Linked DNA regions of Arabidopsis thaliana. The protein of the gene in region 4 purifies or fractionates together with the protein of the main gene of each other region. This does not show direct contact. Each region holds a gene or a part of one and is shown on either strand. Other genes may lie near its edges.

Region 1 (6,378 bases), on a different chromosome or scaffold from region 4:
TCTCAGGGGCAAGGAAGACGTACAGAGAGGAGAACCAGAAGCGAAGGTGGATCGGATTCCAGCAAGTTGCGGAACATGAACCCGACATGTAGAAGTTGGGTTTGTGATTGTGGCTAGCTTTAGGGCACCAGAATCTGGAAACATGAAATCCGAAACTAGTCAGATACATACATTATAGAGACAATTGTACAACTAGAGGAAGAAGAAGGGTAGCGAAGAGAGAAAGAAAGAGTACTGGGAAGAGAAAAGGCGAGAGACGCAGACACTTGAGATAAGGCCATCTTCCTTCTACGTAGATATCACAAGACTCTCCCTTTCTTCTTCTTCTACTATTCTCCTTCCTTCGTCTTCCTTTCTCAAGAGTCGCAGAATTATCTGTTCAAGCTGAGGACACGTGTTTTCTCTCCACTCATTAAGTTCGTATCTTTTCGAGCTACACAGTTTTCCAAAACGGTGGCGTTTCACAAACAACTGCATCTCTTAGAGCAAACCGAACCTAATCTGAACCAAACCAAACCAATTTTGAAAAATTGGATTGGCTTAATTAACAGATTCTCTACGATAGTTACATCGGTTCGTTCAATTGGGTTATAAACCAATTTGTGGTCACTAATATTCAGGAAATAAATATTCAGAGAAGAAAGAAGCACTCAAGTAATAGAAACCATAAAGTTGAAACATCAAAGAGACACTACTCTCAACGTTACCAAAACTGTATGAAAGCCAAAATAACATTATTGCCTAAACCAACAAACAACATCAAATCTTCACCGGTGAGATTTAAGATTCAAGAATCAACAACACACCAAACTAGAGCTTGAGGAAAACGAACTCCTCAACCGCTGGAATTTCCCCAATCTTCTTCAGTGTCTCTTTGCTTGGTATGTCATCTACTCCAATCGCCATAATCGCTTGCTTCCTCGGTGCAATTCTCCCAACGCTCATGAAGTTAACATTGACATTAGACTCTCCAAGGATGCTTCCGACAGTCCCGATCATACCAGGTTGATCCACCTGCCTGCACAGTATGATACTACCTTCAAGAGTTACATCGACCTCAAAAGATCCAACCTTTGTCAAATGCGGGACTCCGTCTTTAACCTTTCCTTCCACTTTAACCTCTCCTGATTCAGACAGGGAACTGGCGAATTTGGACTCCACATTGCTTAGCTGAACAGTTATTGTCTCCAATGGGCTCTCTGGTGAACCATCCAAAAGCACACGTTCCTCTGAGAGTCTGAGACCTCTCTGCTTGGCTGTGAAATCAGCGTTGACCAAATTGACATATACGTCAGAGATTGGCTCGATGATTCCCTTGGTGATCATGGCTCGGAGAAGTCTGGTGTCAAGATCATCAGTGGCTCTTGCTGAGGCGTATGTGATTTTCGCGTTTTTCACACCGCTTCCTCCGGCCACCAGTTGCACTGCCAGTCTTCCTAGTTTCTCGGCTAGCACCACATATGGTTTCAGCTCGGTCAGAACCTGCAGATAGAATGCATGTAAGCTTGAGCAAATAACAAACATGGATAGTCTTAACAATTGAAATCTTCCAACTTGAATCTGATAAGAACAAAGCTATAAACCTTGCTAGTCTAAAATCCAATTCAGAAATCACAGAAACTTGATTAATGAGGCTCTTAAAACAAATCCCTAGAAAACCCACCCTCACTTCAACAATTTTGCCGCTCACTAACTTCTTTCTAACCAACTCGGAACAAATATAATTTGCTACATTCATTCCCAGGCTAGCTACAGTAAATAGGCTGATAAGTTTGCCTCTTTGAAACAACACCAATATGTGTGTATTTACTAGCACAAGCGAGTGCTCACCTCAGCAGAAACCATAGGTGCATTGACTGCAGTAGCAGCAAGCTCTCCATTCAGAGCTCCAACAACAGCTTCAGCAATTTCGATGGCAACTCCTTCCTGTCAAAGCCAAAACACCAACTATATAACAGAAGCCAAACAGAAATTTCATGATTAATTATCACCTGAACTGTAAAATGAATTGCACACCTGAGCCTCCATGGTACTAGCTCCAAGATGAGGTGTCACAGTGACCCTCTCGTGCTGCACGAGCTTGCTATCTTTAGCCGGAGGCTCTTTGGTGAAAACATCAAGTGCAGCCTGCGCAACAATACCAGCATCCAGAGCTCTCACTAACGCATCTTCGTCTATGACACCTCCACGAGCAACATTAACAATTCGAACTCCCTTCTTCATTTTGGCAAAGGTTTCGTCGTTTAGTATCTTCGATGTTGTTGGCGTAAGAGGCATATGAAGAGAAATGAAATCCGCGGTGGCAAGGGCTTCATCAAAGCTCACTAAGTCAACACCAATGGCGTGTGCACGGTCTGCTGGGGCATAGGGATCATGAGCAATGACACGCATACCAAGACCCTTAGCACGACGAGCAACTTCCGTCCCAACTTTCCCGAATCCCAACACTGCAAGGGTCTTTCCCACAAGTGAAACACCTACATACTTGTTCCTCTTCCACTCTCCTGCATTACAATGGTATTATTAAAACCAAGATCCACAAGTCAGCTAGATAACAGACAAGAATGATCAAAACTCAATTTCAAAAGAATCAGCAAATGTAACGATCCTAAATTTCACCATCGTCAACAACAGTACAGGAAAAGGAAAGCTCATGATACAAATTAATAAACACAACAAGCCATCAATCACAGGTATAGAAAGAACATAATCAATAAATATTTCGCAACATATGGAAAGTATGAAATTGAGGCAATGAATCAAAAAGGAACTAACCAGCCTTAACAGACGCATCAGCTTGAGCTACGTTCCTAGCCATGGCGGCCATAAGAGCGATTCCGTGCTCAGCGGCAGCGATCGTGTTCGCCGTCGGAGCGTTGACAACCAAACACCCAAACTCCGTCGCTGCACTCAGATCCACGTTGTCGATCCCAACACCAGCGCGACCAACAACCTTGAGCCGTCCGTGAGACGATTCGAACACCTCACGGCCAACCTTAGTCCCACTCCTCACGATCAAGGCGTCACAGAGCGAGATCTTAATGTTGAGCTCCTCAGGAGTCATGTTATACGAACAGTCGACATTCGCGACATCCTCCAAAAGCTTAATACCAGCGTCACCGAGCTTCTCCGCCACGAGAATCGTAGGCTTAGATCCGTCTCCAGTACTGCAGGAAACGAGAACGAGGCGTCGCTGAAGAGTATTGCGTCCACGGGAAGGGAAAGCCACGGAGATGGCTGATGGAAGGGGCGATCTGGAAGACAGAGTCACGTTCCTGAGAGAGTTGGTGGCAACGGCGATCGAGGAGGAGGCGGCGGCGGTGGCTGACATTGCTACCGCTTTTGGAGTGTGAGTGAATTGAGTAGAGAAAAATATTGTTGGTGGCGGAGTTATAACACGAGGGAGAGATCTAAAAGGTTTTATAGTCGGCTCAGGGGTTTGGTGTGATGTGATAGTATTTTGACGAAGGTGATGAAATCTCACGCGCATTTGGCTCGCGCGTGTGATTCAGTTTGGTTTAGTGATCTGCAAAATGTTTCGGCGAATAGAATTTGCATAGTTTACCGGAAAAATTGCCAAACCAACAAAAAATAAAAAAAAATGTACAACTTTGAGGAAAAGTAAACTTTATTTATTACATATCTCTCTGACCGAGAACAAAAGATTACTCGAAAATTATTTACAGCTTTGAAGATTTTTGACAATGCAAATAGAGATCTTGAAGAAGCCTTATTTTGATGGCATGAGGAGTCTCACGATGTCTGTCAGATAATCAGATCATTGACTTAAATACAGTATCTATAAAAGATTTTAACATTTATGTCCCAAATGAAAAGAAGACTTGTAATGTTTTTTTTTAATGTAGAGGAGTTACTATGTTTATAATATATCCAAATCATAAGTTTCCGCAGAAATTTCAAAATGAAGCAGGAAATTTCATAATTTTGTTTTTCTTTCTAAGGGAGTGTCTGTCCATGCTTCATGCTTGAATGCAACAAGTAGTAATAAAAGATTAAAAGGTCCCCGCACTACTAGTAAACGAGGCCATACACTAGAGGGAGAGCCGCACTTTTTAGTATTTGAAAACAAATTGAAGACTTCAAATTTAAATTGAATTGGACTTTCTTTTTGAAAAAACTCGAGAGTTTTAGTTTTCAGGGCAAGTGATTTGTTTGTGTCAACTTACACACATGTAAATACATCAATTGTGAGGAGGAATATTTGAAAGGATATACTGATGGCTGTGACGTAAGTATAATTTATTGCACGTGAAAGATTTGCTTAGTGTGTCTTTGCAACTGCTTAGATGCATTGTTTTTGGTAGGTCGACCTGTTGACACCCCCCGTATAGTATTCAACGCAGCCGCGCGTGGATGGGTGTACTGTTGAATCTTCGTATATCTTTTGGTTTATTTTGGTTTACTCAACTGAAATTACCTTTTATGAAAAATGAGTCGACAATTAATTTACTTTTTTTTTTTTTTTTTCATTCTTTCATTTTAACCCAACCATGGTAAAGTTACAACAGCATAATAAAACTCATATAAAGGCCCAGCAACATAAAATTACTTATTTCTTTCAGTTAAGGAAAATAAGTATTTCGTTATTTTTTTAATTGCTTTTTTTTTTAGAAACAATAACTATCTATATATACATTTTTGCAGCCACTTTAACAAATAAATCTTCACTTAGCACTTATTTACTATGGCATGCCATTGACATTTATTATTTTACTAAACTTATTTTTAAATATAAATATAAAATCTATTATGTTACTAAAATTTATGAAATTAAAAAAAAAAAAAACATTTAAATCTTTCCAATTAGCATTAATCACCCTGATTTTTCGTTTTACATCATTTATTTTCAGTTAATAAAATGAATCAAATCTTATATTACAATATATGCTTTAATATTTTCATTAAAAAAATAATTGCGTAATAAAATTTGAAACCCTAATTATTTCTCAATCAACATTTTTCGTTTCAATTGTACTAAATAATTTTGCTCTTTTTTGGCAAAAATAAATTGTACATGTATTAAGTTGATATTGCAGATTCAAAAAATATTAACAAATGCCTAAATTTAGGTTATTAAAATAAAAAATAGTTAGTTAAAAACACAAGTATATCAATCCCAAATTATGATTAAATTAAATATTTATTTATAATAATTTTTACCAAAAAATAACATTATATATATTAAAATTTTTGAAGTACTTTTTAAAGTACTTTTGTGTTAGTAAAGTAAGAATTTACAAAGAATGTCATCACATTAAAGTCAAAAACAATTATTATTTTTAAAGAATATTAGTGATATATTTTACCTTTATGAAACATTATTAATATTTAAACATAAAAAATTAAAATATCATGAGACGGGAAGTATAGCAGAACGGGTTTGGATTGATAGGAAATACATCGAGACGGGTTTGGATTGATATAACACAGGTAAAATATTTATTTTATTATTTTATCATCACTAATTTTTTTAATTACAAGATTAATATAAAATTATATAACTTTATTACTAAATATAAAATTATAAAATTTAAAATTATTATATATATAAATAAAATATTTGTCCGTAGTGTACCACGCGTTGAATTATAATATGTTGTTGTCACCGACTCTAGCTAGGGCTTATAAATACAAAGACGCATAGGGTTTCACAACTTCATCACCTTAACACAATTTGTTCGCTCTCTAAATTCTTAAATCTTTCATCAAATTTGCTTCACAGTGAAAAACCTCCTCCACAAGGAACACACAATGTCTTCGAAGATGATCGTGTTGATGAGCTCCGATGGTCAGTCGTTTGAGGTGGAAGAAGCGGTAGCAATCCAATCGCAGACCATAGCGCATATGGTTGAAGACGATTGCGTTGCTGATGGAATCCCTCTTGCAAACGTGGAAAGCAAGATTCTTGTGAAAGTGATCGAGTACTGCAAGAAACACCACGTCGACGAGGCTAATCCTATCTCTGAAGAGGATCTCAACAACTGGGACGAGAAGTTCATGGATCTCGAACAATCCACCATCTTTGAACTCATCCTTGCTGCGAATTACCTCAACATAAAAAGCTTGCTTGATCTCACATGCCAAACTGTTGCGGACATGATCAAAGGCAAGACTCCAGAGGAGATTCGTTCAACTTTCAACATTGAGAATGATTTTACACCTGAGGAAGAAGAAGCTGTTCGTAAGGAGAATCAATGGGCTTTTGAATGAGCCCATGAATCAAAACCCTAACTAGCTTTCTTTTTCTTTTTTTCGTTTTTTAGTGTTTTCTTTTTAACGTCTTGATCGATTATGATAACTTTGTCTACATCTTTATTATGATTTGTGTTTCTTTTTATGAGAAAAAAACTTGAACCA
Region 2 (7,619 bases), 7.5 Mb from region 4:
TCCAAATACTCAAGTGAAGTACAGTTTCCTAAAGTGGAAGGCAATAAACCAGAGAAACTGTTAAGACTGAGATCCAATGTGACCAAGCTCTTAAGCTCCCCAATTTCAGAACCTAATTGGCCTGAAAGCCCAGAAGCAGACAAATTAAGGGTCTCGACGACATTACCAGAAAGATCACAAATGACACCAAACCAGTTATTATTACATGGAGTGGTTTCAGATGTGTTCTCCTTCCACGTCGAAGCTACTTCAAGTGGGACTTTATCAAAGTGCTTGAGAAGCGAGAGTAAAGCCAAACCATCTGAGTTTAAACTAGAGACAGAATCTATACGGAAATAGACAAAGAGAGAGCAAAGCAGAGTAATTTCGAGTAACCCAAGATTCCTCATTTGAGATTAGAGCTCAAGAGACTGAAATATGAAACACTCGTACGTAGTAACCTCACTCAACAACCCTTGAACCCAGAATGAGAGGCGGAAAAAAAAAAGAGAGAGCTTTTGGATTTGAAAGGGTATCTGGATTTAGTGACAGGAACAGATTGCATTATTTAAGAAACGATCGATGAGTTTGGTGAGAGAGAAAAAGAGCGCGCTTTTTGGTTAACTCTTCGTCAGAGATTGTGAACCTAACTTTACGAATTGGCGACCTTCAACGCTGTTTCGTGTTTCTTTCTCGCTATTTCCATTACTACTCGGAGACTGTTTCGTGGTTTTAAATATTCCATTTTCCACGTTTTGTTTTCTTAGCTTATTCAAGAGAAAGCTTCTTTGGACGCTAATTTTCTATTGACATTTCATCCTACTGTTACTTTGTTAGATTTAAATCTTTCATAAACATTATATATTGGAATTTAATCAAGATCTCTGGTATCTGTCGTCTACACTAGAATTTTAACTAGTACTTTATTAACAAAACCATATTCACATAAAACAAAAATGGTTTATTAAAAACATAATGTCAAAACTGATTGAGAGATTAATTTTGATCTTCCCTGTTAACAATATTAAGATAGTGGAGCACTCATCAGTCTATTTAAAAGTCTTAAACCACTTGTATATCTCTCTTTTATGGAATTATTATGTTTATTTCTCTCATTATTACAAAATGTCATCATTTTGGGAGGATGCTATTACTCTTACTAAAATAAGATAACACGCATTCTCAACTTAATTAGACTCAATGATCATCTTTAAATTGATATTCTATATTCATTCCACCAACATAACTCAATCATTCGACGTGCACCATTACATATTATAATCTATCTAATTCCTTAACTGAATTCAATTTGGTTTGGTCGTCTCATGGTATTGAGAAGTCAAAAAAGTCCCAACGAAGAATCATACTTTCTTTAATGTATACAATATTCGTTTGTAACATTTTAACACGTTTATTTTGGAAATATCATACTGTCCATTTCGATTTTAAGTTGGTTGGTCGTCACTTTTGCAGGTCCCAAACGAATTTAATAACAACTTCTATATATGTCTCCATCACCAAACCCTATAATTATACTGTAGTTCATAAATTTTCATAGTTGACAAAGAAAATGTGATTTTCACCATAAGGATTTAGAGAGTGGTGGTCCTTGTTCTGTCTTCTATCACTTTTCTTTAAGTTTTATATATGTTCCACTTCTTTGGTATATTTCCTTTACATGATGTTGAAATTTGAATTTAACTTCAAAGGGTTTTCACATTAGATTCCAATGAGGTTTGCAGATTGCATTTTGTCACAAGATCACAAGGCCACCTACATCCTAAGACTAAAACCCCCAAAGACCCAAATGCGAATCCATTGAGTAGTGATGGAGGAATTTTGTTTTCAAGTCCAACGGTTCATCGTAAAATATAAGCAAAAGCATTTTACAAGAGAAACATGACATTAACCAAAGGCATTACATACCATAAGAAAGCAAAACAAGAACAATGTAATAATACCAAGATACACACACTCGCTCGCAACACCACAGATTCTCTACAGCTTAACAACCACTGGATAAAACACCTTAATCCGGGTCACAGTTTTATTCTCCATACACCACAATGCAACTCCATCTCAAACTTTATAGTTTAAGAAACACAAACTCTTCAATCGCAGAAACACCCCCAATCCTCTCAAGTGTTTTGTTGTCTGGTTCTTCATCAACTCCAATCGCCATTATCGCTTGTTTCCTCAACACTGTTCTTCCAACACTCATGAAATTCACATTCACGTTTTGTTCTCCAAGTATGTTACCAACCTGTCCAATCATCCCTGGTTGATCCACTTGCCTGCACAGTATCAGATTCCCTTCAAGGCTCACATCCACACCAAATGATCCGACACAAGTTAAATGCGGAACTCCGTACTTCACCTTCCCTTCAATACTTATATCACCAGCATCAGAGACAGCACCAGCGAAATTTGACTCCACATTCAAAATCTGAACTTGGATGGAATCAACAGGGTACTCTGGTGATGAATCAACAACCATTCGTTCCTCACTAATACGAAGACCCTTTTGTTTAGCTATGAAATCAGCATTCACCAAGTTGACATATGAATCTGAGATCGGTTCAATGATTCCCTTTGTGATCATTGCACGAAGTAGTCTAGTATCCAAATCATCTCGGTCACGAGCTGACCGATAGACCACCCTAATGGACTGTACTCCTTTACCTCCAGATGCTAACTGCACAGCTAACCTCCCAAGCTTCTCAGCTAAGACAATATAAGGAGTCAACTCAGACAAGACCTCAGGAGCCACCATTGGAGCATTGACGGCAGTAGCTGATAACTCTCCTTTCAATGCCCCTGCTACAGCCTCTGCTATCTCAATGGCTACACCTTCCTAAAATATCACATTGGAATTATATAAACTCGAAAAGAAGTGTAGAGAGATGAAACAAGTAACATAAACAAGATCAAGAGAGTGATGATACCTGAGCTTCTTTTGTGCTAGCTCCAAGATGAGGTGTCACAGTAACATTTTCATGCTGAATTAGTCTGCTATCTTTCGATGGTGGTTCCTCACAGAACACATCTAATGCTGCCTGAGCAACGATTCCGGCATCGAGAGCTCTAACGAGTGCATCCTCGTCGATGACGCCACCTCTAGCGACATTAATGAGACGCACACCTTTCTTCATCTTAGAGAAAGTTTCGTCGTTGAAGACCTTTTTGGTGGCCGGAGTTAAAGGCATGTGCAGGGAGACGAAATCGGCGGTGGAGATAGCTTGATCGAATGAAACAAGATCGACACCGAGAGCTCTGGCTCTGTCAGCTGGCGCGTAAGGGTCGTGGGAGATAACGGTCATGCCTAGACCTTTGGCTCTTCTCGCCACCTCCGTCCCAACTTTCCCGAAACCCATCACGGCCAAGGTTTTTCCGACGAGAGATACACCGACGTACTTGCTCCTCTCCCATTTTCCTGTAAAAATATCCAAATGTCCAAATTTCAGAAACCGCCTCGGTATTACTTGATGGAGGAGTCATCTCAGTTCAACTCAAATTGATTTTATTTTTTAGAATTTTTTTTTTTACTAGATTACAGAAGAAGAAGAATAACTCAAATTTTACAAAAGTGATTTTTAAGTGAAAGTGATTAAGACTTAGAAGAGATAATGGTATTGTAATGTCTACACTTTCTCAGTTTCTGTCTCGATCGTATATTGATGCTTTGACTGACGACAATTCCACCTTAACAGTAGTACCAGAAACAAATAATTGAGTCTTATCAATTATGATGCATGATTATTTTTTAATGACCCACTTGTATATTGTGTACTAAAATATCTACAAATTTGTATATTGTAAAAAGAATCCCATATTCTTCTGCTAATCAAGTTGCACTATATACGCCGAATCAATAATTAAGGTAATTTAAAAATTGTAATAAACTATTAACGAATATAAAGTTTTTAAAAAGAAAAAAAGACAACAAAGACTCGAGAAAATGATATTTGCCATGACAAAATTCCAAAATGGAAAAAAAAAAAAAAAACAAATTCCAAAATGGGTGGAACTGATGGGTTGTGACGCGTGAGATTGAAACTTTAAAGAGAGAATATATCAGGTAATCGAATTATTTCTTCAGTTACCGATGCATGGGTTTGTAATAAATTCCAAATAAGATGATTCAATCCCTTTTTTTGTCCTTTTTTGGAAAGTACAAATTGAAATTTTGTCTAATTAGTTACAATTTTGATTTTAATTTTGGATTTTGTTTTTTGTTGTTCAAAATCATTAAAGGTAATATGGTCTTAACAATCTCCTAAACTTTATATGATTCGATTCAATCTAAACCTACAATCAAAATTAGTATTGTAGTTATAAATTGATATCTAAACCGGCTAAAAAAACAGATTTTATGAATAATTTTGTGAATCTTATATTTTTGTAAATACTTTACTTTTACTAAAATTACATATACATAACTAATTAATACACATTTTAAACACATTTTAATATATTCCTCCAATTATAATTTAGTAATGTTTGATTCAAAAATTTATATTTATAAAATGTAAATATCAAATTTATTCAAATATTTAATATAAAAATCAAATAAACCGATTGTCTGCGGTAAACAGCGGATTAAATCTTAGTTGATTGATACAAAACAAAACAAGAAGTTTGCAATAATAGACAAAGAGACTCCAATAATTTAATTTCTGTACTGTGGTTGGTGAGAGACTCGGAGAAAAGTAAAATGAGGTTACTGGCGGCCCCAAAATTCAGGGCCCCGACTTTTACTTTTTGCAGTAAATGGACCCATTATTTTACATTTGACAGGTTCGTTTGTTTTTTCCATCTTACAGGGAGAGGATCAAATATGATTTTCCCCTTTTGTTCTACTTACGTAAACCAATTTTATTTTTGCTTCTAATCATGACTTTTCTACTATCCAATGACAAATTGCCACTTCTATGCTATAATGCATAACTCCAAAGATCAACTGAGCAATTATTACGAAGAAACACTTACGAGTAACGCCACTATACTGGAATTATTCAAATGGACCATTAACTCTTCTCAATATATGAACAAAACGAAATATTCAATATCTATCGATTAATCAATGATAATCAATTCTTCTTTTTTGTAATCAAGATAATTTGGACTTCATCAGATCTCGTAATCTTTGCGAGACTAAAACATGTTAGATTAGTTTTTTCTTTTCCATGGTGTGAAACATAGTATAAGCTTTAAGTTAATCTAGATAGGTTAATTGGTTAAATGTCTCATTTCAATAAAACAAAAAAAAAATGGCTAACCGGGAACGTACCGGCTTTAATAGAAGCGTCGGCCTGAGCAACGTTACGTGCCATAGAAGCAAGCAAAGCAATTCCATGTTCGGCAGCAGCCACCGTATTAGCCGTTGGAGCATTAACCACCAAACACCCGTGCTCCGTCGCCGCCTGCAGATCAACATTGTCAATCCCAACTCCGGCTCTTCCGACCACTTTCAACCTCCCCTTCGCCGCCTCAAACACTTCCCTCGTCACTTTAGTTCCGCTTCTCACGATCAGAGCGTCACTCTCCGCCACTTTCTTCTTCAGATCTTCCGGCGAAAGATCGTAAGAGCAGTCAACGTCGCCGAATTCCCTGAGGAGATTCACGCCGGCTTCTCCCAGTTTCTCGGTGACGAGGATCCTCGGCTTTGGAAGAGTTGGATTGTATTCATCAGAGTCAGATCCGACGGTTGAGAATCTGTTATCCTCTGTTAACGTCGTTTGCTCGACGGTTTTTAAGGCGGCGCTTATGGCCGTTAGTTTGACGCTTGTTGCGTAACGGCGGTGAAGGAAAGCAGGGAGGACGGCGAATCTAGAAGACGGTGACGGAGACGGAGACGTCCACCGTGAGTTGACGGCTTTGACGGACGAACACGAAGATGAAAATGCCATGACTCTTTTTTTTAATAATAAATATGATTGGTTGTTGTGAGTGTGTGCAGAAGAGCTAAAGTGGTTAATATAGAGCTTACAGGAGGTAATGGATGAGTTTTAATTTAATCTTTCACATTGTGGGCTACCAACATTATGTATTAAGTTGAACAGTTTGTTTGGTAAAAGAGTAAATAAAATGAGAAGCACATGCACAGAGAGTAGGACGTTCTTGTCTAGGTGCATCATCATTGTCTCAATTAAAACAAAAAAAACACATATAAAGTAGTATATAATAAAAGATTCATTTAAGCATTCAATTAATTGTTACTATAATTTAGCACTGAAATACATTGTCATCTATATTAGTATATTACGGTTAATATTCATCATCATGTGCATCCTTATTAATAAAAGAAAAATAATTGACGACCAATCTTTTATGTGATTCTCCCACTAAAATGATGGAGTTTCCGAAAGCATCTTTAAACCATAACTTTATGTTTCTTTTACTTAATTTTATTTTTGCAGAGAAGATAGATTCGGACTTTTCCTCACGAATTTTTTCAACTTTATTCATTAACAAGTGTATATGAAAAGAAACATGAAAGAACAAGACTTTGCAATGAACAAGACATGGGAGAGAGGGAGGAGACTTCACCATATCATCCTCTCTCCCAAGTTGACAACTGCAACAATCCACCAAGAGTACTATAAACATTCTTCTCCTTGGAAAGAATATACCTTTTACTCCAGTGTATTCCTTTCTGGACCTGGAAAATTTGGTGGAACTACTACCAGAGACACATCTGGAGAATTAACATTTGTACAACTAATCCAAACCATTAAGCAGATGATGAAATTTCTCATTGTAAAAACACACTCTAGGTTTTATATAAACAAAAGCATGTACCAGGGTGAGCAATTTACACAAACATTCCCATCATGTTCAGGGATTAATAGCATCAACATCTCAATAAAAGAAGAATCCAAATACAGTTTTTTTTTTTGTTAGGTTAGCTAATTAACCTCTGGCTTTAAGCTCGGCAAGTCTCCTGGTTAAATCATCCTCCTCAACTTTCTCTTCAGTCTTGGTAGGAATGGCATGACCAGCAGGCTGAGGTAGTCCAACAGAAACTTCAAGACCGTAATCATCTGCTACTTGCTGCATCAAGCTGTTGACTTCTCCTTCTGGAGTCGACAATGAAGTAGAGCCAGCCATTGCATTATCCATGAACTCAGCTTGGACTTCCATGTTCACAAACTGTTTCTCAAACGAATCCATCGTCTCAGACATCTTCTGTAAGTTGCCTGTTGCAAAGAACAAACCAGAAAATGATAACACGAGTTGCTACAGCACAACGTATAAGAGTATTATAAGCCCTATCTTCTTCTCCCTCTATACTACACTTACCAAAAGGAGAGAAATGCAACAAAAATTCATCACAGATCACAGAACATCCATGACGGTGAGAGAGAGCTATTCTAATATTTCATCAAACCAAACCCTAATGCATGATTCCATATCCTTCAATCAGCAAAAACAACAACAAGGAGCAGAATTTTTCAATCTATACTATAATGCTATGAGCACCAACAAAACCAAATTGATTAGATTGCTGAAAAGTGAGAATGTGAAATACCAGTGGTAAGAGACGATTCGAGGGATTTGACAATGTTGGTCATCGATTTGGTGATGGTAGCCATCTTAGCCTGGGTATCGAGTCGAGCAACAACAGCGTCCAATCGAGA
Region 3 (9,248 bases), on a different chromosome or scaffold from region 4:
AGTCTCGCGGTTACAGAATAGCTACAACTCATTTGGGAATGGACACGGTAAACCTCTAAAGATTTGTTTGTATATATTTGTCATCACCATTATTTATGAGGCAAAATGAATGACATTCTCTTGGTGGTAATATCTTATAGGTTTCCATTTACGATATGGACTGGTCATGCCCAACAGCAATAGTTGTTGGAAACGAGGGCAGGTAATGAATATCATCTCTTAGTCCAAATTTGAGGGTTCATAATTTCTTAATGGATTGATTGGGGAATATGCAGGGGAATAAGTGACGAAGCGTTGGAGTTATCAGATCTGCGTTGCAGTATTCCGATGAATGGAATGGTTGATTCGTTTAATGTCTCAGTGGCTGCAGGGATTCTGATGCACCACGCAGTCTCTGATAGAACCACTCGTCTGGTAAACCTATTGACACAGCTAGACAATCATTTACGTTAGTTTCCAGTTCAGTTTATGCTTTAATTACATTTTATGGGTTTGAAACAGGGAAGCCATGGAGATCTGTCGGAAGCAGAGAAAGAGATATTGATGGCTGAGTTCTCACTTCGTCACAGTAGAAGCTCAATTTGCATTGCTTACGAGTTCGCTAAACGTAAACAACAACACTCTACCTCCTCCTAATTTTGAAACCGTTGTCTTATTCTCTCGCTGTTTTGCGTGTTATAGGCTTCGAATGACGCCTATAAAAACTCTTTCGAACTCTTTTTTTGGTACGACGCTTGCTTCATGTACAACTCTTAAATTCTATAAAAGACATCCTTCTGTCGAACGTATTGCCTTTTCAATCGAGTGAGTGGTGTTGATTTCACCATTCTTCTGCATCGACCTCACGCCATCAAAGATTAAGTTAGAAATTTCGCCTTTCAAGAATTGGTCACTCATAACTCTTATGCCAACTAGTAATCCATGAACAAACGTCGAAATGCATAGAAACTCGTGAACACATCGAACTTATGATAGAAACAGTTCTAGACATGATATTTATAAGTTTTTTTCCCGTGGCATCAAATAAGTGGAAAGCAAGCCCTAAAATAGATAGATAAATCCTAATAGAAAAGAAAGCCTAGCAAAAGTAAAAAAAAAAAGTCCTGAATAATTGTTATTATTTTGTTACTTTTGGAACACATAATTAATCAATTAACATATCACTGTTTGTAGTCTGTATCCTTTCCTTGTTGCTGCTATCTTCTCCACTTGTCCGTTTCTTAGACTGATGCGACTTCACAAACTCATCGATTTTCGCCTTCAACTCGATGTCCGGTATCAACATATCCGATGTCAAATGTGCTCGGTTAAATGGATCATGCTGCAGCAAAAGTAAGAGGATCATATACAAAGCCAAAATCTTCAGAGAAAGAGAGATGTGACTGATCAGTGATCATCATTGTGTTAGATAAGCTTACATTGTCGCTGAGAAGATGACGTTGAATGATGGGACGATCAACTGTGATTCTTGAGCTTGGAAGTATTACTGGATCTCTCATTAGCGTGTACTGCCAAAAAAGAAAAGGAAAAGAAAAAAACAAGAACAGACATTAGTGCATGGTAATAAGACAAGATTTAGGTTTAAATTAGTGTTTCTTTCAACAGATAAAGACCTGAATTGGGTCAAGGAACTCGTCTGGTATTTCCCCAAGTGCAGCTTCAGCATCCAGAGCTTCAGAAGCAGCAGCTTTGGCTTTTGTGCCTAACTCCATAAACTCTTGAATGATTCTTCCCTCTTCACCTATTCTCCTAAGCACATCTGCTCCTGCATTGAATAGCTGCAAAAACGGGCACTTGTTTAGTTCAGTAGAGACGCATCTATTATTATGAAAGAGGATTTGGTTTAGAAAGAAGGATCTGACCTGTTCATTATATGATCGGCCATCACTGGAGATGGCACCAGGGAATATGTTTACTGTGTCTCCTCTTGCGAGATTAACATATATGCGAACGATCTTCAAAGTTCACAATCATATCAGTCAGTTTTTTCTCACATACTTTGATCAGGAGAATTGAGTAATTGTAATCACTACTAACCTGTTTAAGTAACTGTTTTGGACGGAATTCATATTTCTCAGGATCTTTCAGGCTTAAAGATTTACGCTGTGGACCCACGAGTTGTAGCAAGAAGTAGTTAAGCATGTTGGCAACCCTCTCAACCTAAATAAGTGCAAACAAACAAAGAAACTCATCAGTTGGGTAATCATAGGGCAGGTTATCATTTCAGGAATATGGTCAGGTACCATCTCAGGGAGTAGGAAAGGGGCAGTGATCTCCTCGGATGTAAATGCAAGCATAGTCACATCTTCATTTGCCAGCTTCATGTCGATTCTAACAATCTGCAAAGAAAATCAAAGTTCTTTATGGGATCGGGATTCGAGTACGAAACAAGATATAAGAAGTGATAATCCAACTAACATTCTCCTGCGAATGGAAGAGTCTTGTTCTCTCCTGTCTCTCTTGAGTTGGTCTCTGCTCCCACTCTGCAGTATTTGACATGTCTGCCTCGATTTGTTTAATCTCGAGAATTTTGTTTAGACTTTCATCCAGAAGATAGATGCTATCATTGACTAAGAAGTTTAAGAAGTTCAAGTACACGCCCTTCTCTTCGTCTTTTGCAATCTGTAACACATCAAATTTGGAAAAACATTGGAACATGATAGTTGAAGTTCAAAGTCATGGCAAGCTCACTAAGAATTTACCCGTCTCCATGCATTTCGGTGACTAGGCACCTGCCAGAGATACTCTAAAAGCTCGGCAATGTTGTGGCGAATATTGAACTTGTCATAGAACTGCATTTGGATAACTAGATTTCAGTTCCAATAAAAGCAAGAACAAATGGCTATTCTGGCTTCCAGAGCTAACATATTCTCAAGTACAATGCAATAGAGAGAAGTTCATTACTCCAGGAATATTATAGCCACTAAACAAAATCTCTTGCAATCACCTGAGTGTGTGAACCCGTGAACTCAATGTCAACATATAGTTTCAGTAAATTCCTGACAAGATACTCGAGCGATAACTGATGTCCCTCAAAGAGAGTAGATGTAGCAGAAGAAGAACTACTGCAGGAAAAAAAAAAAATTAGAATGGTGGACCACGTTACTGCAGAACTTGTTGCATTAGCAACACAAATTGACAAATGTACAGCTTTCTTTCATGGGAAGAAAAACACCTTGAACGAGGCATCCAGCAGTTCAGAACTTCAACCATCTTTGCTCTGAGATACGGGTTTCTAACATATTCAGGACTTGCCATGAACATAATTATGAAGTTCATAAAGTCGTCCTTAAGAAAAGAGAACAACCATCATCAGTGCAAATACAAAAAGAGAATTTCTACAGACTGATGAGAGCAAACTAAGCATACCAGCGGCACCCCGTCCAAAGCTTTGGGAATTCTTGAAGCGAATATCAGCAACTCCATTGCATCTTCAACAAAATGCTCAGGCATACAGGAGAATTCCATAGGGCAAGTTGACGGTAGAGGCATCTTAAAGCCACCGACTAGTCCAACTAACCAAACAACCATTAGGCGATAGAAAGACAGAGCTCGCTGAATAAAATCTCCATCCTTCAATACAGTATAGAGATAAGGCAGCTATTACTATCATGTTACCGGTCCAGAGGAAAAGCCGAAGATGTTATCAGAGCAGAGAATATGATTACAAACCCTCAATATTTGGGCCTCATGGCAAAGCTTTTCCTGCGAAGACAGCTCTAGTTCTTTTTCCATTCGGGATATATCAAGTTCCAACTGTGGAGAAGGTGCTTGATCTCTCATGGCTTTTAGCGTTGCAAGATTATCTTCACCTCTCGAGATGTCCTACGTCATGCGGAAAAGAAAAAGTGAAGAACCATACAATAACAATCTTCTGCAAATTCAGGAATCAATGACACTTTCACAATGTAAACATGTGACTAAGTTCAAGTTTTTGCTATAGTCCCTTCTCGTTTTAACTAACAAACGCCTTAATAAGACAATATGTAAGGAACCAAATCAAATAAGAGCTTTCTGCAAGATAATTTATCACAAGTCGTTTTTTTTTCCAAAAAATCTTCAATATTTCCAGGACGGGAAAACTGTGATGATGATTACCTGAGCAAGATGTTTAAAGTCAGAGAGTGCTTTTAGGAGACCCAAATTGAGGACCCTAGCAGTCATAAAGAAGCATTCACAAATGAAAGTGTATTTAGTTGCTGACTTTGCATTTTGCCCAGAAGCATTACTACTAGAACTTGTGGCTTCTTTGGATTGTAACAAGCGACTTTCGTTCCCATTTTCTCGCCCAGCATCATTTGCGTTTGCCATAGCATCTTTGCCAATCCACTCAGTAACTTCTTCGGATGATGCATGGAGAGCGGTCAAGTCGCTGGTGTGGATCATAAATAATATTGCTCATCATGAAACTATTAAAATCAGTGAGGAAATACAAGTAGAATCATCTTGAGGACCATACCTTAATTTTAAGCGATGGCCACAGAATGCGTATTTTGGATCAATCTTATCCCTTTTCGTTAAATGTGGGTCTAAAAATGGTTCACAGAGCCGGAGCATTACTGCACTAAGGTTAACAAACATGCCTGAGCTAGCACAAGAGACTGGATCAACCTGTCATACAAGATAAACATATTACAGAATGCTGATTTGAGCAAAAAAGACAAATACCAACTTGATAAAACCGAGAGGAGACAATAGCAATTCATGAATAAAGATCCGAAGTATATATGCATCTTATAAACGGATGATTACCTGTATATGGGCTCTAGACGCATTTGCATTGATCACCTCTGCAAGAAACTGTAGAACACGCTCACGGGTATCAGTACTTTTAAGTAAAATCATCAATACATCATGCAGCCCGCTGTACAAAATGTTCATGAAATTTTTAATCGTGGAGAAGGATGATAATAAATCTGCGGGACGACGTTCCGATGCTTCAGAGAAACACTGCTGCCTGATATTCACAAAAACAATAGACATATATCAGCATTTTCATAACAGGTAAAGTATATCCTCTGAGGTGGATCAGGAAAACTCTTATGTTCGCACAATTAAGCCTTGTCAAATACTAAATGGACAATCAAGATTCTTCAGTACAGACCAGAAAAAATGCTCAAAATAATGGATTTCATCCACAATATTCTAACTTAACATAGTGCTTACTAATATTTCTGTTGGTTTCGCCTCTACTGATCATCTAACTATGCTAAATTTATATAATCATGCTTAAAATATGTATACAACCTAACAGTGGCATCATATATAAGCCAAATATATCTGCTTTTTTCCTTTTTTGATCAAGTCTCTCTACTATGAGTAAAAGCTAATCAATAATTCTTACTATCCAAACTTTCTCAATAAGAAAAGAGCCCCAAAGACTACATGATTCTCAGTAATAGAAACCCATAAATAAGTTGGAACTCACCCAACATCAGGTTGACTCTTGAATAGTGTATTATCTGGCAGCGCACTAATATGGAAGAAAGGCCCAAGAATGCTAGTCAACTCCATTGCTCGGCCGTTCATATAGGCACCCCGTGGAACCCACCACTCATGACTAACCAGAGATTTAGCTCCTACTGGTAAGCTAACAAGATACTTGAGTGCCCTCAGTGGTGGCTGGAAATCTCCAAGCACTGATACATTTATAACCGTAGACCTCAAATCCTCATACAGCTCCTTTAGAATCGAGTCCAAGCTATCAAAATCCGAGTCTTTGAAAAACTCATCCAAAAACCCAGGAGGAGCTTGAACCCCACTGCTACTAGCTCCAAACATATCCAACGAACCAGAACCAACCTCAGCAAAGATCAACGGAAGAACCGGAGAGACATTCCTCTTCTTCAACCTATTATCCAATCCACCACTAGGTTTATCCGAGTTCCCAAACATGTCAGGATTCCCCAAGTGAATCCTACAGTAAGAAACAGCAAGCTTCTTCGCTTGTTTAGTGACAATCTCCATCTCCGATCTCAGATTCTTATCCTTCATCGACTGGATTTTCTTCGATTCGTCGTAAGCACGACGGTGGCAACCGATTAAATACGGGAAAGGCGGTTCGGCGTCGGAAAAGTCGCCGGAGAGACGATCTATGAGAACTCTCTCCATCAAATCACGAGAAAGCAAAAGCTCTTTACCTTCGCTGAGAATCTCAGCGGCCGTCATCTCCAAGTAAACAATACGAGGATCGGAATCAGTTGATTCCGTTAGGGTTACATAAAATATCTTCCGGAGGATTATATCCTCAATTTCAGCCGGCGATCTTTGAGGTTTGCTCGTCGCCATTGATTTTACGAATCAAATCAAACACTCGAAACTCGATTTGAGAGATAAATATAAGAATTTTTTTTCTTAAACTTGTATTACCGATGAATCAAAAGCGAAAGAGTTTGGACTTAGCAATTTAAAGTATAATTAAATTTAGAAAAACTAAAATTCACGAAAGAAGAGAGAAACCATGGCGAGAGATTTGGAAGAACTTTCTGGGAGTAGGTTTTTGTTTATGAACTCTTTTGGAGTCTCTGAACGAGCTTTAGCAAGTCCTGAGCTTGGACAAAAAGTCTATATAGGATATATGCAAACGTCGTACTTACTAACGACGTCGTTTATACTTATTAAGACAATTACTTTTACTGCTAATAAAAAATAAAAAATAAAAAATTACCAAGATAAACTCCTCCAAGATTTTGTTGCTCAAAAAATCTACTTTGAACTTAACCGTAAGAGGTTGAAGTATCATTCCAAGAAAGATTTTTTAAAGAAGTAAAGGTAAACAATTGAGGAGGAACAATGAACACACAATTATTTGGACCGATATAAAATTGGAACTTTTTATTATTATTCGAGATGATCATGCGGTCGAATGGACATGAACATAGCTGCATACTGAAGTAACCGGCGTTCACTGTTACCTTCAATGCTATTCTCCGACACAGGACTCATCGAACCGCCGATGTTTTCACCACGGGTTCTTTTCCTACGCCGGCGCCACGCCATCTGAATATTTACCGCTGCCCACGTCCTCCAGTTTGAGGAATAGTATCTTGCGGTCCGCTTAAGCCGCTCGTTCGCGAATTTATAACGGAAATGATCGGTAATGTACCTAAGATCTTCGGATCCGAGGGAGAATGCCTCGATGTTTTCTAGGCAGACAAATGTTGCTGAGGAAGGGGGAAGACGGTCCAGAAACGGGCGACGTAGGCACCATGAGAGTAGCTCGTCGCCCAAGTAACCGCCTGGTTCTAGTGTACTAGTGGCTAGGACGCCTTTGCTTAGGCTCTGTATACGTTTGACTCGTCCACGCATGATGAATATCATTCTCTGTACAGGATCTCCTTCACGGATGATCTGTGACAATCAACAAAATCGAAGAACCTCAGATTTTACTCTTCAAGTAAACTCTTAAACCGAAACCGAAGCAAAATATTGGAAATATAAATTTTTAGAAATGATGGGATGAGTACCTTTTCGTCTTTAGAGAAGACTCGAGGCTTAGCCCGATCGCAAATGTTGTCGAGGATCAAGTCGTCCATGCCCCTGAACAATGGCACCTGAGAAAGATCAAACATGTCAGAGACTTAACACTTACTGCTTTCACAAGTCTTAACAAGATTGTATAAAGTCTGCTTCCTAGTACCTTGTTAATGAGATCAAAGCAAAGATATCGTTTGATATCTCTTCGAAGACCCGGAGGCAAATCATGTATAAGTTCTAGCTCGTCTTCACCACCCAAGGCATTCCATCTCTGCCGCTCAAATCGCCTAACCCTCTGTCTTAACCGGGAAGGTAACTGCCTACGTTTCATCCACCATTCCATATCCCTACACCGTATCTGCATTTTCCTTTTTTTCGCCATTACCGCATGCAAAAACACCTTCAAAATATTGTAAAGTAAAAAGCTTTTTAAAATCTTACATTCCATGAAAACACAATATCATAGAAAAGACATATTCTTGCATAGTTTACCTGAATGTTTCCTATCAACAGCGTGAAAAGTAACAAGCCACTTAGAACCATAACTATACTGAAAATAACCTCGAGCCAGTTGCTTGTGGGCTCAAGATCATTCGCAAATGTGCTGTAAAACGCGACCCCCAAAACAGATTCAGTATGTCAATCAGAGAATTTTTTTATATCCAAGATGTAAACCTTAAGCTCAGAAACAAAGCAATTACCTGAGAGTCATTAGGCCCCAGAAGATGGGGTAAAGGATCTTAACCGCAAGAGAGTTGCTGGAGATGACTGGAAGTGCCCAACGGTAGATACCATATCGGAATGGTCCGTTAGAGTCTAAGCACATAGGCTTATTGACCACACTGGTAAGGTTTCCAGATAAGCATGGATATCCAACTGTGCTTGTCGGTGACACAAATTGGTAACAGACCTCTTCTTTGCAAGCCAGACTCAGATTGCAGTTCCCGGTTCTCATACATTGTTGTCTTATGCAAGAAGCAACACGCTGTATTGCGAGAACATACCAACATCCCCCAGCAACCTGAAACCACCAGAATTTCCATAAACAACAAACTTTAATTTCATATCTTAGGACAGACCTTAGTAGTACTATATATATACACATGGGATTTGTTATATTGCATTTGTTTTAGGACCTGAATATAACCTATTGTTGCAGGACATTATATTCAGGCAGAAATACAATATCTAGCTTGAGAGGACTTACATGAGAAGCGATGAAATATGCGATGAGATTAAGAGCAAAACCCCACCAAATAGTTCCAAAAATGTAACCAGTGACCTTCTGCATCCTTCTCATCAAACAGATGCAGTGATAAATCTTGGGGAGGAACTGGAACAAGAATATTAGCAGCAGAATCGTCATTATCAGCTTAACCTTCTCTTCTCTTATCAGTTTCGGCACAACTAACCAAAACACTGCCTGCAAACAAGCAAAAACACAAAGTTCACATCTTATCTGCATCTCAAATCATGATTCATCAACAGGTAACACTTTCAAATGTAAATATGGGCTTTATTGATAGTAATAAAAAGTTTAGGGTTAATTTCATAATATTGGAATAGTTGGAAGGTTGTTCTGAAAATTCACCTGAGGGACAGGGAGGATGACGATAACATCAAACCAGAAGCCAGTGAGAGAGCGTGCGTAGTGAGACGCGATGGCGCGTGGATCCCAAACGAGCTTCCCACAACCAACGACAAGCGACTCTCTCGAGACGTAGGCCAGTCTGAATTGAAGCCACACGTGCCAAAGATGAACAGCATCGAGA
Region 4 (6,293 bases):
AAAGAAGATTTGGTTGGTTTGGTTAGAGATTTTTTCCGAACAAGATCTTTTGATAAGAGAATAAATGAAACAAATATTTTTTTAATTCTAAAGACGGAAAAGCCACAGAGGATGACAGAGTTTAGGCCAATAAGTCTTTGTAATGTGAGTTATAAGTTTATTTCAAAAATTCTTTGTTTGAGGCTTAAAAATATTTACTTCGGCTAGTCTCTGAAACACAGTCGACATTTGTTTCAGGTAGACTTATTATAGATAACATTATGCTAGCACAAGAAATATTTCATGGACTACAGAGGAATATATTGTGTAAAACGAACTTTTTGGCAATAAAAACGAATATGAGCAAAGCGTATGATAGGATAGAATGGGAATTTTAAAGGTAGTTATGACTCGTTGGGAATCAGTTCTAATTAGATCTCTTGGATCATTTGGAGTGTTAGTTTGGTCTCGTATCAAGTTCTAACGGGAAAGCAAGAGGAAATATAATTTCCAACAGAGGTTTACGATAAGATGATTCTCTTTCCCTTTATTTGTTTATTTTATGTATGGAGGTTCTGATTTCTAATATTAAGAAAGCGGAGCGAGAGAAGATGCTAACCGGCATTAAACTAGCTAAACGAAATCCTTCTATTCCACATTTGCTTTTTGCGGATGATAGTATTGTAAAACAGATGCGGAGGAATGTAAAACGGTGATGGGTGTTGTTATAAATTATTGTAAAGCTTTAGGACAAGAAATAAATTTCAATTAATCATCGGCCTTGTTTGGTAAGCGTGTTGCAAAAAAAAGAAAAAAAAGAAGAACTTAAAAATTTCCTTGGAATTACTAAGGAATGTGGAATGGGTACCTATTAAGTATACTAGAGAGTTTAAAGGGTTCAAAAAGTAAAATTGTTAACTATTTTGGGAAGATTTAATGAACGGGTTAATGGTTAGTCAGCTAAGTATCTGTCAAAATATGGGAAAGAGACAATGATCAAGTAAGTCAATGAGTGCAATTTTGAATTACTGGTGGAGTTCTAATGGAAGAGATTGTAGGATTCATTGGATAGCATGAGAGAAAATGTGTATGGATAAAGAAGGAGGTTTGTGATTTCATTCCCTAGAGAGTTCAATGATGTGGCTAAACAGTATTGACGATTGATACAATATCTAAAATCTTTAGTAGCTCGAATGTTAAAAGATAGATATTTCAGGAATATTCATCATTTCCAAGCAAAAAGAAAAAACAAACTCACCATCATTTGGCCGAAAAAGTATTTTTCGACTAAAAAGACATGTTGAGATGGAAGCAAGATGGCCCTTGGATCAGGTTTCAATCTATTGGTCTGTTTAATAACCATAATTTTTTATTGGTTTGAGAATCATTGACCACACACAACTTATATAATTCATGACGCTTAAGATCAAAACGAGGCTCTAGATTAATTGAAACTCAAAAAAGAAACATAACACAACGATCAATAAACTGATTCTTGTTTTCCCATTGGATTTGGGAAAAGAAAATCATAATACAACAAGCAGAATCATCTACACCAATATGATCATATTATTAATGTCCCAAGTGCACAGCATCATCCACGGCTAGTGCCAATGCAGCAGCAGCGCCAACATATGTGTGTGGAGTTAGCTTCAAAAGTTGGTCTTTTGCTTCTTCAGGCAATTCCAAACTTTTAATAAACTTTCTAATGCTTTCTTCATTCACAGCTCTTCCTCTTGTTAGCTCCTTCAGCTTCTCATACGGCTCTGGAACACCATATCTCCTCATCACCTGTTTTTTTTATTCCTTCAGTTACCAATGTACATGGAATAATAACTTGATCATTATAATAAGACTAGAAAGTTTCGAGAAATTTACAGTTTGTATCGGTTCAGCGAGGACTTCCCAAGTATGATCCAAATCGTCTTTTAACCGAGCTTCATTAACCTATATCAAGAACATCCTTAGTCTATGACAAGTGAAGACCTTTCTTTCTTAGGGCAACGGAAATAATAATACCTGAAGCTTCCCAATTCCCTGTATCGCGCTCTTGTAAGCCAGAAGAGAGTGTCCTAAAGCTCCACCCATGTTTCTCAAGACAGTTGAATCTGTTAAATCACGCTGCAGATATGTACATTTAAATTTTCAGGCTTACTTACTTCTACACCATTACTGTTAGCAAGATCTAGTGGAGTATGCTCAAACCTGCATTCGTGAAATGGGAAGCTTCATGCTGAGAAAAGCAAGCTCTGCATTTGCTTTACCTAGATTCCCTTCGCTGTTCTCAAAGTCAATAGGATTCACTTTGTGAGGCATTGTCGATGATCCGATTTCACCCGCTTTAGTTATCTGCATCAAAATTTCAAACAATGAGACAGATTTTCCCATTCCTTTTCAAATGACTCGGACATATTTTTGTTAATACTTGCCTGCTTAAAGTAACCTAGAGATATGTAGCTCCATATATCTCTGTCAAAATCAATCAAGACATTGTTGAATTGGCTAATTGTATTAAAAAGTCTAGCCATATAGTCATGTGGTTCAATCTGCAAAAACCACCAGTGAGGAACTTTACAAATCATTCCACCAGGAAAAATTTGATCAAGAGAAACTATATATATACCTGAGTCACGTATGGGTTAAATGTTAATCCAAGAGAAGTAACAAACTCCTCTGCAACATGAGGCCAGTCAATATTAGAATACGCGGAAATATGCGCGTTGTAGTTTCCAACAGCACCCGCAAATTTCCCCTTAATCTTAGTTTCTGAAAGATATCTCCTTTCTACACTTAACCTCACAGCAAAAATCGCCATTTCCTTCCCCAATGTTGTAGGTGAAGCTGGCTGCATTATAAATCATGACCATTGCTTTAACAAAGAGATAGATAGAACTGAAAAATAATACTTCTCTTTGGACATTACCTGCCCATGAGTTCGTGAAAGCATAGGTACATATGCAAAGCTCTTAGCCATCAGAGAGATAGACTTGATCAACTCATCCATGGTAGGAAGTATAACCGAACTAAGTGCTTCTTGAAGCATCAAAGCATGGGAAAGATTGTTGATGTCCTCAGACGTACAAGCGAAATGGAAAAACTCTAGAACCTAAAGACGAGACATTTAGTCAATGCATCATCAATCAAAGCATCCAAACCCTAAGAAGAGTAAGAAACGGTTTCTAACCTTAGCAATCTCTGGATGTGATTCACACTTTTGTTTCAAAAAATACTCCACTGCTTTCACATCGTGATTTGTCACTCTCTCAATCTTCTTAACTTGCAATGCATCATCCATACTAAATCCATCGATTATACCTTGCAAGTACTTATGAGCTTCTTTGCTAAAGCTTGGAACTTCAGTGACTTGAGGTATATTTGAAAGCTTAATAAGCCATTTGATCTAACAAAAGTACAAAGTTGAAGACTTTAGCTAACTACTCAAACAAAACCAATCTTCCTAATCAATCAATGAATCAGAACATAACCCAATACCTCGACAAGTACTCGGAAATAGATCAATCCAAACTCGCTCATAGAAGAAGCCAAGTCCTTAACTTTTCCCCAATAACGTCCATCCAAAGGCGATAATGCTGTTAAATTCGACATCTCAAAGTCTCTGGAACTTGCACTAGCCATTGCTATCAACTAAAGTATATTCATTTATCAGATTACATACAAAAACCCACAAAGTAAATAGGCTTGAAACTAGAGAAAGGCTTTACCTTTGTTGAAGTCATTAGCTTGAGAGAATGAGGAGAAGAAACAGAGAATGAAACTCTTGGAAGATGAGACAGAGATTTTGATGGGTTTAAAAGACTTCTTATGGGTATAAGGCCGGAACAAGGGATTTTGGTGGCCATCGAAGATAAATTGAGCTCCATTTTTGTGTGATTTAGGGTTTATGGCAATTTACTCGAAAACAGAGCATATAGAGAAGAAGAAAGAGAGCAATATGAGTGCGAGATCGGTTCGCGGTTTGGTTTGGTTTGGTTCTGCTATTTATTTTATCGGTTATACAGAAATTAAAATCATTTCTAATTTAGTTTGGTTATCGTTTTGTTCTTGATTTGAATTAAGTTATATTTGTTTGCGATTTTTTTTTTTGTCATCTGAATTTTATTAAGAACCAAAGAAAGGATATAAGTTAAAATTACATATGCCGGCAGACGGAAGAGGGAAGTTTTGCCCAAACAAATTTGGAGAAACTAACGTACACTAGCCTTAGGGCCAGACTGGTTTAAATACAGCGGGTACGGTTACGGTTGCGGGAGTTTACGGAAACGGGCGGTTGCGGTTTCAAGCGTTATCAAGTGTTTTGAACGACTGGTTGAGCGTTTGGTAATGGGTGCGGTTGCGGGAGTTTTATGACTGGTAAACCAGCGGGTGCGATAATAATTAAATAAAAAATAACCAAAATAAATATAATATATTACTATTAAAAGAAAAAATACAATATATTATTATGATAAATTGATAATATTTGAAAAATTAAACATGCTTAATAATTAAAACCATAAATAAAACTGAAAATTCAAAAATAAATAGATTTTGTAAGAAAAAACTTAATACTTTATGCATTTGGTAAATCACCAAAAATTGCATCAAGTAGTGTGATAAACTGTAAATAACGTTGACCTCACGGGTTTTCTAGATTGCCTCTATACATATGATAAAGTTTCTTCAAGATATCCAAACGATTTTTAACACATCTCCAACTCAAAATTTTTCCAAACGTTAATATTCTTAAGAATATTTTCTTTTTGAACATCACTTAGAAATCAAAGTCTTTGAAGTAACGCAAATGTGGTCTCGTCTGACCAAATGATTTTCTAATCGAGAAAACAAATCAAAACATGTATTCAATCAAAAAACACAAAAAAAACCAAAAAAAAAAAAACGATGCCATGAAATATTCCGAGAATTACACTAGCTAATGAATGGATGAAAGGATAGATCATACTTACGTTTGATTCTTAATTTTGACTTTGATTTTCGTCAGTTTGGGTGGATGCCATAATTGAGAGAATAGGGTTTCAATATATTGATTAGGGTTTTCTGATAAGAATAAGTATAGGGTTTGGGTGGAAGATATAATTATTTTAATGAATTAATTTTTTTTTTTTTAACTTAACCGCTACCGCCCGCACCCGCAAACGCTTGCGGGAATGAGCTTTTGAAATCTGGCGATTTCGAGCGGTCCAAAGCGGTATCTAGCGGTTTCTATGATTGGTGCCAACCGCTAATAACCGCTACCACCCGCAAACGCAGCGTTTGCGGGTGGCAGAGGGAGAACCAATCAAGCCCTTAATATACAAACAGAAACCAATGTAAGAAAAGAGAGAACCACTGAACCACATAGGAAAACATTGAAACCTAAGCGCTAAAATTGAACAAAGGAACGATAGATCTCGCCAAGCTTTCCTATAGAACCTGTGAACGTCGGAAGCACCAATAAGACCATGGAGACCTCACACCGACGTCAAACCAAAAAATAGCAAAACCGATAAAGAGGAAAGCAAGTAACCATCAATACTAGAGACACAAATACAACCACTATCATACCTCACAAGCCAATACGAAGAAAGCAACAAAACATTAGGAAGAAGGCAAAAAACTTGAAAATCAACTAGAGATAAGTCAAATAAGATCAATAACTCTTTACATGCGGACACTCGTCGAAACAGCTTCAGCCAACTACATACATAAAACTGACGACGTCCTCACAAGAGAAGAGCTAGAGAATGATTCCATTGTTTCGCCAAGAACTAGTGTCGTGTCTAAACTTATCGGGGGTTAAGGCAAAGTTGATATTAGGACTTTTTTAAATAAATAAATAAATAAACTAAAAAAATCATTGAAAACAAAATAATAATATAACTAAGACTTAATTTTTTTTTCTTCATTTTTAATTAACGCTCTCACCAAATTTTCATAATTTTATGTTTTTTGGGCTCCAATTAGATATGATCTCAAATACATGTTTCTAAAGAGTTCAAATTTTTTTTATCATCAAATCAGCACAATCATTATTTATAAAGAAAGCTACATAAAGATGAATTAATATATGTTAAGTTAATAGATATTTAGAAGAGTTGAAGTAGGTTAAAAGAAATAAAGTGAATAAAGAAAAACATTAAAAATCAGGTTAGTCACTTTTTAAGAGGAATAAAAATCCTCTTAATTACATGTCAATGCCGTTAGAAAAATCAATTCAACGTTAAATTCGTTTCACATCATTAAGGTTAGCAAAGTCAATTAACAACAATATCCATCTATTAAACACACAGATAAATACATAATCAAACGGGTATATA

The links.
Region 1: the proteins of AT1G36280 (region 4) and EDA9 fractionate together in Arabidopsis thaliana (co-fractionation; one large-scale study listed by BioGRID). This does not show direct contact.
Region 2: the proteins of AT1G36280 (region 4) and PGDH fractionate together in Arabidopsis thaliana (co-fractionation; one large-scale study listed by BioGRID). This does not show direct contact.
Region 3: the proteins of AT1G36280 (region 4) and AT5G15400 fractionate together in Arabidopsis thaliana (co-fractionation; one large-scale study listed by BioGRID). This does not show direct contact.

The regions. Positions count from the first base shown.
Region 1 is NC_003075.7:16,373,231-16,379,608, forward strand, and holds EDA9 (D-3-phosphoglycerate dehydrogenase), read right to left. Parts: upstream 3,437-6,378; 5' UTR 3,332-3,436; coding exon 2,776-3,331; intron 2,505-2,775; coding exon 2,017-2,504; intron 1,927-2,016; coding exon 1,831-1,926; intron 1,483-1,830; coding exon 811-1,482; 3' UTR 501-810; downstream 1-500. Other genes in the region: SEP1 (stress enhanced protein 1), read right to left, coding at 24-134, 236-281; SK11 (SKP1-like 11), read left to right, coding at 5,773-6,231. UniProt on the Arabidopsis thaliana protein: Involved in the plastidial phosphorylated pathway of serine biosynthesis (PPSB). Required for mature pollen development.
Region 2 is NC_003070.9:6,099,426-6,107,044, reverse strand, and holds PGDH (D-3-phosphoglycerate dehydrogenase), read right to left. Parts: upstream 6,031-7,619; 5' UTR 5,889-6,030; coding exon 5,266-5,888; coding exon of another isoform or gene 5,250-5,265; exon of another isoform or gene 5,062-5,249; intron 3,970-5,061; exon of another isoform or gene 3,715-3,969; coding exon 3,627-3,714; exon of another isoform or gene 3,413-3,626; coding exon of another isoform or gene 3,402-3,412; coding exon 2,925-3,401; intron 2,834-2,924; coding exon 2,066-2,833; 3' UTR 1,804-2,065; downstream 1-1,803. Other genes in the region: PEPR2 (PEP1 receptor 2), read right to left, coding at 1-389; AT1G17744 (uncharacterized protein), read left to right, coding at 5,250-5,690; VPS46.1 (vacuolar protein sorting 46.1), read right to left, coding at 6,892-7,178, 7,511-7,619. UniProt on the Arabidopsis thaliana protein: Involved in the plastidial phosphorylated pathway of serine biosynthesis (PPSB).
Region 3 is NC_003076.8:4,996,620-5,005,867, forward strand, and holds AT5G15400 (U-box domain-containing protein), read right to left. Parts: upstream 6,635-9,248; 5' UTR 6,289-6,634; coding exon 5,429-6,288; intron 4,958-5,428; coding exon 4,753-4,957; intron 4,612-4,752; coding exon 4,460-4,611; intron 4,373-4,459; coding exon 4,099-4,372; intron 3,826-4,098; coding exon 3,673-3,825; intron 3,574-3,672; coding exon 3,370-3,573; intron 3,289-3,369; coding exon 3,176-3,288; intron 3,066-3,175; coding exon 2,948-3,065; intron 2,793-2,947; coding exon 2,703-2,792; intron 2,623-2,702; coding exon 2,419-2,622; intron 2,340-2,418; coding exon 2,244-2,339; intron 2,161-2,243; coding exon 2,038-2,160; intron 1,956-2,037; coding exon 1,863-1,955; intron 1,779-1,862; coding exon 1,614-1,778; intron 1,509-1,613; coding exon 1,419-1,508; intron 1,322-1,418; coding exon 1,145-1,321; 3' UTR 870-1,144; downstream 1-869. Other genes in the region: AT5G15390 (tRNA/rRNA methyltransferase (SpoU) family protein), read left to right, coding at 1-47, 141-202, 276-414, 502-636; DND1 (Cyclic nucleotide-regulated ion channel family protein), read right to left, coding at 6,841-7,350, 7,467-7,553, 7,640-7,876, 7,969-8,080, 8,178-8,497, 8,684-8,899, 9,068-9,248. UniProt on the Arabidopsis thaliana protein: Ubiquitin-protein ligase that may function as an E3 ligase in conjunction with specific E1 and E2 ligases. May also function as an E4 ligase mediating the assembly of polyubiquitin chain assembly on substrates monoubiquitinated by another E3 ubiquitin ligase.
Region 4 is NC_003070.9:13,638,167-13,644,459, reverse strand, and holds AT1G36280 (L-Aspartase-like family protein), read right to left. Parts: upstream 3,953-6,293; 5' UTR 3,861-3,952; coding exon 3,702-3,860; intron 3,625-3,701; coding exon 3,472-3,624; intron 3,380-3,471; coding exon 3,164-3,379; intron 3,086-3,163; coding exon 2,903-3,085; intron 2,825-2,902; coding exon 2,603-2,824; intron 2,526-2,602; coding exon 2,409-2,525; intron 2,329-2,408; coding exon 2,185-2,328; intron 2,101-2,184; coding exon 1,999-2,100; intron 1,927-1,998; coding exon 1,858-1,926; intron 1,771-1,857; coding exon 1,552-1,770; 3' UTR 1,338-1,551; downstream 1-1,337.